2 linked regions of the Caenorhabditis elegans genome follow. The protein of the gene in region 1 purifies or fractionates together with the protein of each later gene. This does not show direct contact. Each region holds a gene or a part of one and is shown in the gene's direction. Other genes may lie near its edges.

Region 1 (4,063 bases):
ATGGGTATTTCGGCCGGTCTGAATGGCATAAATCGGTTCAACTCCTGATCGTCTCTAGTATCCGAAGGTGTGATTCCAACTGATTCTAGGCATCTTCCCATTCCTCGATCCTCTCCTCTATCGTAAGGACATAGCCTTACGTTGTGGTAGAGTTGTTCCACAAACATTCGCATTGCTGCGTTCGACAAAATGTACCCGGAGCCTCCAGAATTGTAGCCATTGTTCTGGAATGAAAACAACTTTTCAGTTAATTCTGTCCTTTCCTGCAATCAACCTACCATGAAAGGTGCTAATCGATATCCCAAGTATAAAGGTTCTGCTGGATTCAAAGTGTTTAGATACTCCCTTAAATGATCCATTGCCACAAATGTATCATCATCTGTCTTCAGGTACCAATCAAAATGTTTTGAAATGCTGGTATATGAGTAATACAAACTGAATATTGATTTTCGGAACAAATCATCATAGGTATCCCTTAGATTTCGGTAAACTGTAGAATATGCAATGTCAGGGTAAGGAAGATGAGTTTTTGTAAAGAATCGTCCGTGATCACACCTTGGAAGCCACGTGGAGGCAACTGATGGGACACGGTCTTTGTAATATTTTGTAGAAGTTTCAACGAAGCAAAATATCTGGCCGGATGTTGGAAGTGTGAACGTGGCAGGGGAATGTTCGATTCCTTGGATTAGGATTTGAACATCTCGAGTTCTGAAAACATTTTATTAGAAAAAGTACTGTAGGAGTACTGTAGTTTTGGAAACAATGTCTCTTGAGCTTTTGAAAAGTTATATGGGGCTGGTGTGGGACAGTATCGAGATGCTGTAGTGGAGCTGTAGTGTACTGTAATAGTTCTGTAGTTTTGGCAAAACTAGAAGTTTACGGTCAGAGCTTGCCGGGAATAGTACCGAGATACTGTAGAGGAGCTATAGGATTACTGTAATAATACTGTACGCAGTCAACCACTTCGGCTCATCCTCTAGAGTGGTGCAACGCACATTGACAACTCAAATTGTGTCTCTGAATTTGAAAATTTTGAAATTCTAAATGGTGTCGAAGTAATGTAGGGGTACTGTCGGATTACTGAACACAAGTATTATTCAAATGCTGTTAGACAGAATACCGTTTAAACTTTTGAAAAAAAATTATTGCAATTGACATTTATTTCCGATAAATTTAGATTTTATACTGAAAATCAAAGAATTTATTTTACTAGATATCAAAGTTATATCGAACACAAGAAACTCTCCGGACATTTTTTAAAAACTAACGAGATTTTTTATTTCTCAGTACAAAATATAAAAAAATTCGTTGGAATAAAAATTGCCAAAAACAACTCCCTGTAATTTTATTAACATTAGATAAACTAAAAAATACCCCAATAGGATTTTTACTATGATTTGACAGAGGCGAACAACTCACGGAAAGAAGAACTCCTTATATGGTAGAATAGCTGGAGAATATGCATATAACTCTGCTGGTATTCTAAAAAAAATTATTACTGGAATTAGAAAAATTTTTCAAAGCTTACTGAAACTTTCTCCGCTCTGGGAAAGAGATGTAATTGATCAGTGCCACCACAAAAACTGCCAGTAACGCAATCCGATCGATGCGGTCAAAACCGTGTCTTTTTGATAAGAGTTGCTGGGAGAAAATAAAACATCGAGTTTTAAACTTTTGAAGAACTATGTCCATTGTTGAATGCCAGGTGCCGAATTTTAGAAACTTTAATGGCAAATGTTTCGCAGAATTTCTTTGAGTGCTTATCTGGCGATCCTCATCGCCATCCAGATTGAAATCAAAGAAAGAAAAGATTATCTCGTTCCTGAATTTTTGAGGCTGAAGTGTAGCAGATTTGCTATTTAAGTCATTTCCATTTTCATTTAAATTTCACAAAAATGCGGCAAAGCTCAGCTTTAGTTTTTTTCTCGACTATTTTTCTATTTTTTCTGTGTTATATACGGACGCAGTCGAGATTTCAATTCAGTTCCAAAAATCCTGGAATTAAGACAATGGAGGAAAACTATGACGCTTGGCACAGTTGTTTTATGAATAATATTTCACACTTTGAAGGTTATCCAGACGAGGTAAGTAGCTAAAGCTTAGGCTTAGGCTTAGGCTTAGACTTGTCCCTACCTCAACTTCATAGGGATATCCTTTGGTCTGAAATGAAATATTTAACATTGTTTGGTCTTTTTTATAGAATGAAACTGTTCCAAAGTTTGCGACTCAATTTCACAAGATAAGATAACAGTTGTATTAGGTTTTCACGGTACATTTTTCACATTTAAAGCAAAATACTAATTTCAAAGACAATGATTTTTTAGCTTTGGGACAACATGTTCAACGGGATCCGAAGATGCGAATATATCAAAGAAATGAAATATTTACCAATTCTGGATTTTCTGAATTCTGACGAGGCGAAAAGACATATACTTCCAAAAATGGTATTTAAAATTTTAATTTGTGGAGAAAAATTTGACAACCTTTTTTGCTCAGAACCAACCTAGTACCATAGTCACTCTGGGCATCGGACATGATACCGGAGCAGAGGAGAAGCTTCTTCAGGTTTTGTTGTTCTAGCCATTTAATTTAACGAATCCAGTTTTCAGCAACTACCAGAAGGATCCGAGTTCTTTGGGGCCGATCCCATGCACGAAATCAACGAAAATTTATACACAAGTATCCCAGGAAAATACTTTCCATTTGCAGTCGGAGCAGCTCCTGGACTTGCGGAAGCTAATGTGCTAATTGATAGTAAGTTGATCAGCATATTTTCATTGAATCATTGAACCATTTTCAGCTTCATACACTACAAAAACAGTTGTCAATGTGGATATTATATATTTTCTGACAAAATTGATCAATAGAACTGTAAATTACTTTAGGAAAAACTGAAAACTTGAATACACTGAAATTTCAGGTAATCGATGATCTGTGGATGGACGCAGAAGGCGCTGAATATGGAATGTTTGAGTTTTTCTATAATGGTGGAGAATTTGATAAAAATAACATTAAATTTTGCCAAATCAATATTGAGGTTTGTGATTTAAATGGAAATTAATAAATTCAAAAAAAATCCTTTCCAGATTCATGTTCCCGACACCCACCAGAAAAAACTGATTCACGACTTTATTTTTCAGCTGATGAAAGATCGAAGATATGCTATTTTTAGGTAATTCCTTTTTTTGCTCTATGATTTTATGTCAGGCAAGCCCGTCCTTCTTCCAGCTTGTAAAAATCAAATTTTCAAGGCAGGCTCGTGAAATCTCGACGTGTCTTGTATCCCAGAAACATGTTATAATTTTCAGACCAGTAAAAGGAAAGCACATGCGTCTTTATCTGCTCAATTTCAAGGATGATAACTGTGCCCATAACTATATTCTCTAGGATTTTCTATGTGAATGTTTTGTTATTTTTTAATATTTAAATAAACAGTGTTAGAACCAAACTACAGAAAGCTACAGTACCCCTACAGTAATCTTTCACCCAACACAATACAATAACCTGGAAATAAATTATTTATGATTGACAACAACACACCCAAAACAAGTTTAACAATTTTCAGCAAACTCTGAAAAAACAGTGAAAAAAATTGGTGAGATTTTAAGAAAAAAATCATGTTGTCAAAAGTGTAAATTATCCCAAAATGAATATTTCAGAAGGCTACAGCAATTTTACAGTACTCATGGACTACCCAGTACAAAATCAGAACATTTCGGTACAAACTAAACCGGCAAAGTTCTTTTTTAACGTCACCAAAAACGTTTTCAGGTATTTTTATTAAAGCCATCATGATTTCCATTCCTAGATTTTTCTTGATTCAACCCTCAAAAAATTGAGAAAAATATTTTTTCACAAAAAATGTCAGCTTGTCAAAAATTTATTCAAAACCACCAAAAATAAAGTTAACAGTATAAATAAGGGACCCGCAAAATGTCCGGCGCTCATAAAATTATTGCAAACTCTCGACGATTGTCATGACATCCGACGCGGAAAACTTCAACGGAACCCAGTGAGACGGGTAGAAATCATTCTCGTTTATTCGTCCGCAGTCCTGGAATAG
Region 2 (4,887 bases), on another chromosome or scaffold:
AAAATTTGGCATCTTCCCAAAACTGTCAAGACAGAAAGCATTAAAAAGTCGACAATTTGTTGGAGTTTCTACAAATTTGTCATTTCTCAAAATTTCAAAGTTTTAAAAAATTTGGAAGCTTGTTGAAAGCATTGTTTTTTCCCAAAAAAAAGTTGTACGTTTTTGTCGACAACTATTTTGTGTAAGTGCTAGTAACATTGTATGCAGGTAGGCCTACATGCCTACATTATGCCTACCTATGCCTACCTTTGATTATATTCTGACTGAAAACATTTTTCATCTCAAAGTTTAGTTGGAAATTGAAAATAAGTGCAGGCGCGAGGCAGGTAAGCGCTGACATGGTTAAAACCAACAAATGAAAACGAGAAATTCCCAACAAATTTCAATTTCTAATTGCTTAATCTAATTGCGAACCAATAAAACGGAAACTAACAACAAACAAAAGAAAATTTTCAACCCTCTTCTTTTTTCATTCGTTCATTTCCATTTTAAAGCATTGGCAAGGCCTTTCCATTTCCCCTCTCTCTCTCACTTTTCTTGACCGCAAGCAAGAGTGTAACATTTTGTAGTAAAGATTCTCTGAAGTCTCTTCCCATCTGTTTCAGTCGTTTTTTATTATTTTATTCTGTGATTTCTCCGATTTCTCCGATTTTCTCCAAGTGTTTTTTGTTAGTATTAGTATTACACTGATACTTATTTGTCTCGATTTTTGAGATTTGAGATTTCTCGTTCAGATTTTTCAAATTTAAGAAATTTAAAAATGATTTTGGAACTAAAATTTTCAAATATCGTGATTAATCTTTCGCGAACCTTATGTTTTTGCCTCTTAAAAAAAGAAAAAATACATATTCAAATGACTAAAACAAGTATGATTCATTCCACGAATGTTTATAAACTGAAATTTATTTTGATATTGTCATTCGTTACTCAATTAAAATTTTTTTTTGAGAGTTTCTTATGCCTACTGGCTTGCCTATGCCTGCCTACCTACCTGCCATTTTCATATAGCAGGAGTGAACAGGCTTACGAGTTTGTACTCACTAAAGTTTCTCCGGAGTCTTAAATTTAATTTCTAAGAGTCCAAAAGATGTTCACTACGTCTCAAAATTTTGATGCATTCATTCATTCTTCATGTACAAAGTTTCCATGACAGTGTTTTCTGCCTCCTGCCTCCCTGTCTACCTGCCCTGTAGGCCTGTAGGTACTGCATAGTTGGCCTGCTTAAAAGCCATTATTCCTCCCCAATTGAAAATTGAATTTCCAAAAACCCCAGAATATTTTCTCTGCGTCTCTAAATTTTCCGCTACATCTTTTGTTGTTCAGTCAGTTGTTTTTTCTTTTTATTCGTTTTTTTTTCAGTTCAGTTTGAGGTTTTGTGACAAACAACATGTTATGCAATTGAAGAGAGGATTAGTTATTTTTCTATATGCTTTTTTCTGAAGAATATGCTTTTGGTTTGCGTTTTATTTTGGGTTTTTTTCTAACTTTGAAATTTTCAAAGATGGTCTATCTTAACTTGTCCAGCTTTGTCTAGGTTTAAAATTGTTTTCAAATTTCGAAAATTATCGAAAATCGCATATAAAACCAAGATTTTGAATAATAGAAGTAAATTAGATTTAAATACTGCGGTATAAATGAATATGCAATAACCTAGAAACTTGAAAAAAAAAACATACATACCTGCCTACATGTTTGCCGACTTACGTGCCTGCCTGTACCGACGTGGTTACCTGCTTGCCTATTTACCTGAATTCTTGCCTACCTAAATGCCTACCTATACCTACGTGGTTGCCCACATGACTGCCTAGGCTACTCTCTTCTACCTAGTTATGAAACTAAAAAGTTTATTGCAATCATGATCATCCCTAAATTAAATTAATTGTTTTTCTTGCGTTGGAAAAACAACATAACAAAAATAAAAAAAACAAAGAAAAAACTGCATGAGCTCATTGAAATTCGATGCCTTTCTTTTTTCTTTTTCTTTTTCTATTCATAGACCAACCACCCAAACACTTTAATATTCACCATTTTTTCTTGTTTATCTCATTTTATTTCCTCCGTCCAGTTCCAATTTTTCAATCTTCTTTAAAATTGGCAAAATCAAATTGAAAATGCATGTCATTTTTCCTGAAATTAACTTCACTTTATTTTCAGAATCAGCCAGACCCACGATTTCTTTTTCAAACTGCCAAATGACGTGAAAATGAGAGAAGAGCCAACATTGCTCAATCTTCCAAATGAAGTCTTGTTGAAGGTTTGTACCATTAAGCCCAACAGAAAACCATTCATTTTTTAGGTTATCCGTAACTTGCCACGTCATGATATATTCTTTGGTGTTGCTCATGTAAATAATCGGTTTCGAGGATTGGTGCAAAAGAATTTGAAAACTATCAGACTGTGGGTTAATAAAACTGTTTGCCTACCTATACCCACAAGCCTGCCTACATGCCAAAAATTATGTCTACCTACAAACCTATCTATACCTGCATGCCTGCCCATCTACCTACAAGGCTACGTACCTGGCCACATGCCTACGCACCTGTCTACCTAACATAAGTATTTATCTATCCCTTACATGCATATCTATCTACATACTTGCATACTTGCCTACTTGCCTACATGCCTACCTAGATTCATTCCAATATATTTTTGACATGTTCAGAAATTTCTCAATTTTTATCAATATTTGTAATTCCCATATTTTCCAGATTTGAAGCTCACTGCCACGTCAACATCGTAGACAACAGACCTCTATCAAAATACCGCGAAGATGGAACTGACCCGATTATCACATACAGTTTCACACTATTTGATACACGAGGACCTGGTTTGTAAACTACTAGAAGATCATCTAAAAACTTACCATATTTCAGAGTTTACACAAAAACGGCGTCTGTGCCTCCGCGGAAATGATGTTCGATACAAGGAGCTTCATGTTTCCCATTTCAGCGATTCAACAATGCAAGCTCAATTTGAAAGAGTTGGAACAAGACATGATGTTTCAGTTTCTCCAATTACTACAAGAACGGTAAGTTTTCTTAAAAATTATCTTTACTCCGTAAAAATTTTATTCAGCTCCTGGCCTACATGAATTTGCAAGCAATCAGATTTCAAGTTCGGAAGCAATGCAAACCAGAGTCTCAAAGAATTGAGGATAACTTTTTTGCTGACTGTTTAACGTTTTTTGATAAAGTTTGCGGTCGAGTAGAAATCAAGTAAGTTGCACATTTTCCTTACTATTTTTACAATAATACTTTAGATCTCTGCTCCTCTGCTCAAAAACCATCCTGTTCCCTTGGCAACTTGCACCAAAGTCACTGATAAAGCTATCAGAACTTCAAGGTCTTCAAAACTTGATTTTGGAAAATATGACAACCTTCGATCCATTCTCAAGTTTTCTGAAACTTCCCACTAAGAATCTGGCGAGTTTGCAATTCCGATTAGATCCCAGGCATCGGATGGATATTGATCAAATGACAATGGCACCAGTAAATGGTAGGTTTCAAAAAATTACTAAAATACTTCTGGCATACAGAACTGATCAAAAAAGGGTATAATTTTTCAGGATCACTTCTAAAAATTTTATCATCATCTGCAGTTTACCGTCTTGATTTCTCCGCTTACACGGAAGTTTCTCAAATTGTCAGTGCCATCGATGCAGTTGACATGTGCTTTTTTATCGAGGTACTTCACAAATTATTAACTTGAAATTCAAACTTCTTCAGAAATGGCACTATTCCCCCAAACCATGGATTATCAAAGGAATCTCATTCAACTCTACAGTTACAATCGATGAATTTCGAATTGCAGTCTATAAAACTTTACCGTGAGTTTCAAGTTTGAGACATGGTGCATTGGCTTCTCCACTTCGAAAATTGCGTCACACGCGTCTGAATTTCCAGCAATTTTGTAGATCAAACGGGGAGGGATAGGGCTCGCTTATAATACTTTTAGGAAATCTAGTTTGGCTGCTATCTGAAAAGCCATTCCGGCTCTGAATTTTTTGATTAGAAATCATCGATGAAGCGCGTTTGCATTCATCTAGCAATTGGTGAAAAATTAATAAAATATGTTTCAGGCCAAACTTCGCCATACCTGTCCCCTACTGTCGATTTCAAACAAGCCATCGAACCTCGATGGGCATCGTTTTGGAATTGGCATGCTACGCAAACGGAGTGAGTTTTCTTTTTGATTTGAATTATAAAAAAAAATCAATAAATTCGAATTTTCAGACAGCAACCCAGTGGATCATTCGTACCGGTTACATAAATTCGTGTTAGACGAACCATCAATTTTTCGGTGAAAATCAATATTTTGCTCAGTGATTCTGTATTTTTAAATTTTGTATATAAACGGGTTAATCATATTTAATGTTTTAATTTTTCTCTTTAATGAATTTTTTTTAGTGATTAAGCATCAGTCTTGAATCGAGAAAAATAATGTTAAATTTCAGAACAAATAAAACACATTAAAAATGTTAAAGGTAAATTGGTTTTTTTTGAGCTTCCAGGCTCTCAGTCTTTGAACCCATAAATGTTATCAAAAAGTTGCATAAAGACCCAGAAATTCTACAAAATAAGATAACAGGGAGTTTGAAATTACAGTACTCTTTAACGGCGCGCACCTTATTATAGTGAGCAAAATTTTGTCGTGTCGAGACCGGGAACCGTACTTTCGTGTTCAATTTTGCAAACTTCGCATCCGGGTAATAGTTTGATTTTGATTCCTCACTCAGATTCATTGAAATACATAAATATAAACATTTTATTAGGTCTCATGTTTCCCCCACTTTCGATAAGATATTGTTGTTTGCGAAAATTCGGTCAATTATCAACAAATTGTTCGATAAGATAAGCATTGACTGCTCTTTAAAACTGCACATTCTGG

Evidence for each region.
Region 2: the proteins of C17A2.7 (region 1) and T03F6.4 fractionate together in Caenorhabditis elegans (co-fractionation; one large-scale study listed by BioGRID). This does not show direct contact.

Annotation. Positions count from the first base shown.
Region 1 is NC_003280.10:3,841,238-3,845,300, reverse strand, and holds C17A2.7 (Methyltransferase FkbM domain-containing protein), read left to right. Parts: upstream 1-1,895; coding exon 1,896-2,084; intron 2,085-2,324; coding exon 2,325-2,444; intron 2,445-2,496; coding exon 2,497-2,565; intron 2,566-2,609; coding exon 2,610-2,754; intron 2,755-2,800; coding exon 2,801-2,871; intron 2,872-2,920; coding exon 2,921-3,037; intron 3,038-3,086; coding exon 3,087-3,172; intron 3,173-3,308; coding exon 3,309-3,387; downstream 3,388-4,063. Other genes in the region: C17A2.3 (N-acetylgalactosaminide beta-1,3-galactosyltransferase), read right to left, coding at 1-224, 279-708, 1,420-1,482, 1,529-1,692; C17A2.4 (L-Fucosyltransferase), read right to left, coding at 4,029-4,063.
Region 2 is NC_003281.10:13,383,996-13,388,882, forward strand, and holds T03F6.4 (F-box domain-containing protein), read left to right. Parts: upstream 1-2,154; 5' UTR 2,155-2,203; coding exon 2,204-2,254; intron 2,255-2,296; coding exon 2,297-2,397; intron 2,398-2,708; coding exon 2,709-2,827; intron 2,828-2,873; coding exon 2,874-3,028; intron 3,029-3,075; coding exon 3,076-3,215; intron 3,216-3,259; coding exon 3,260-3,495; intron 3,496-3,565; coding exon 3,566-3,684; intron 3,685-3,725; coding exon 3,726-3,826; intron 3,827-4,078; coding exon 4,079-4,175; intron 4,176-4,232; coding exon 4,233-4,280; 3' UTR 4,281-4,364; downstream 4,365-4,887.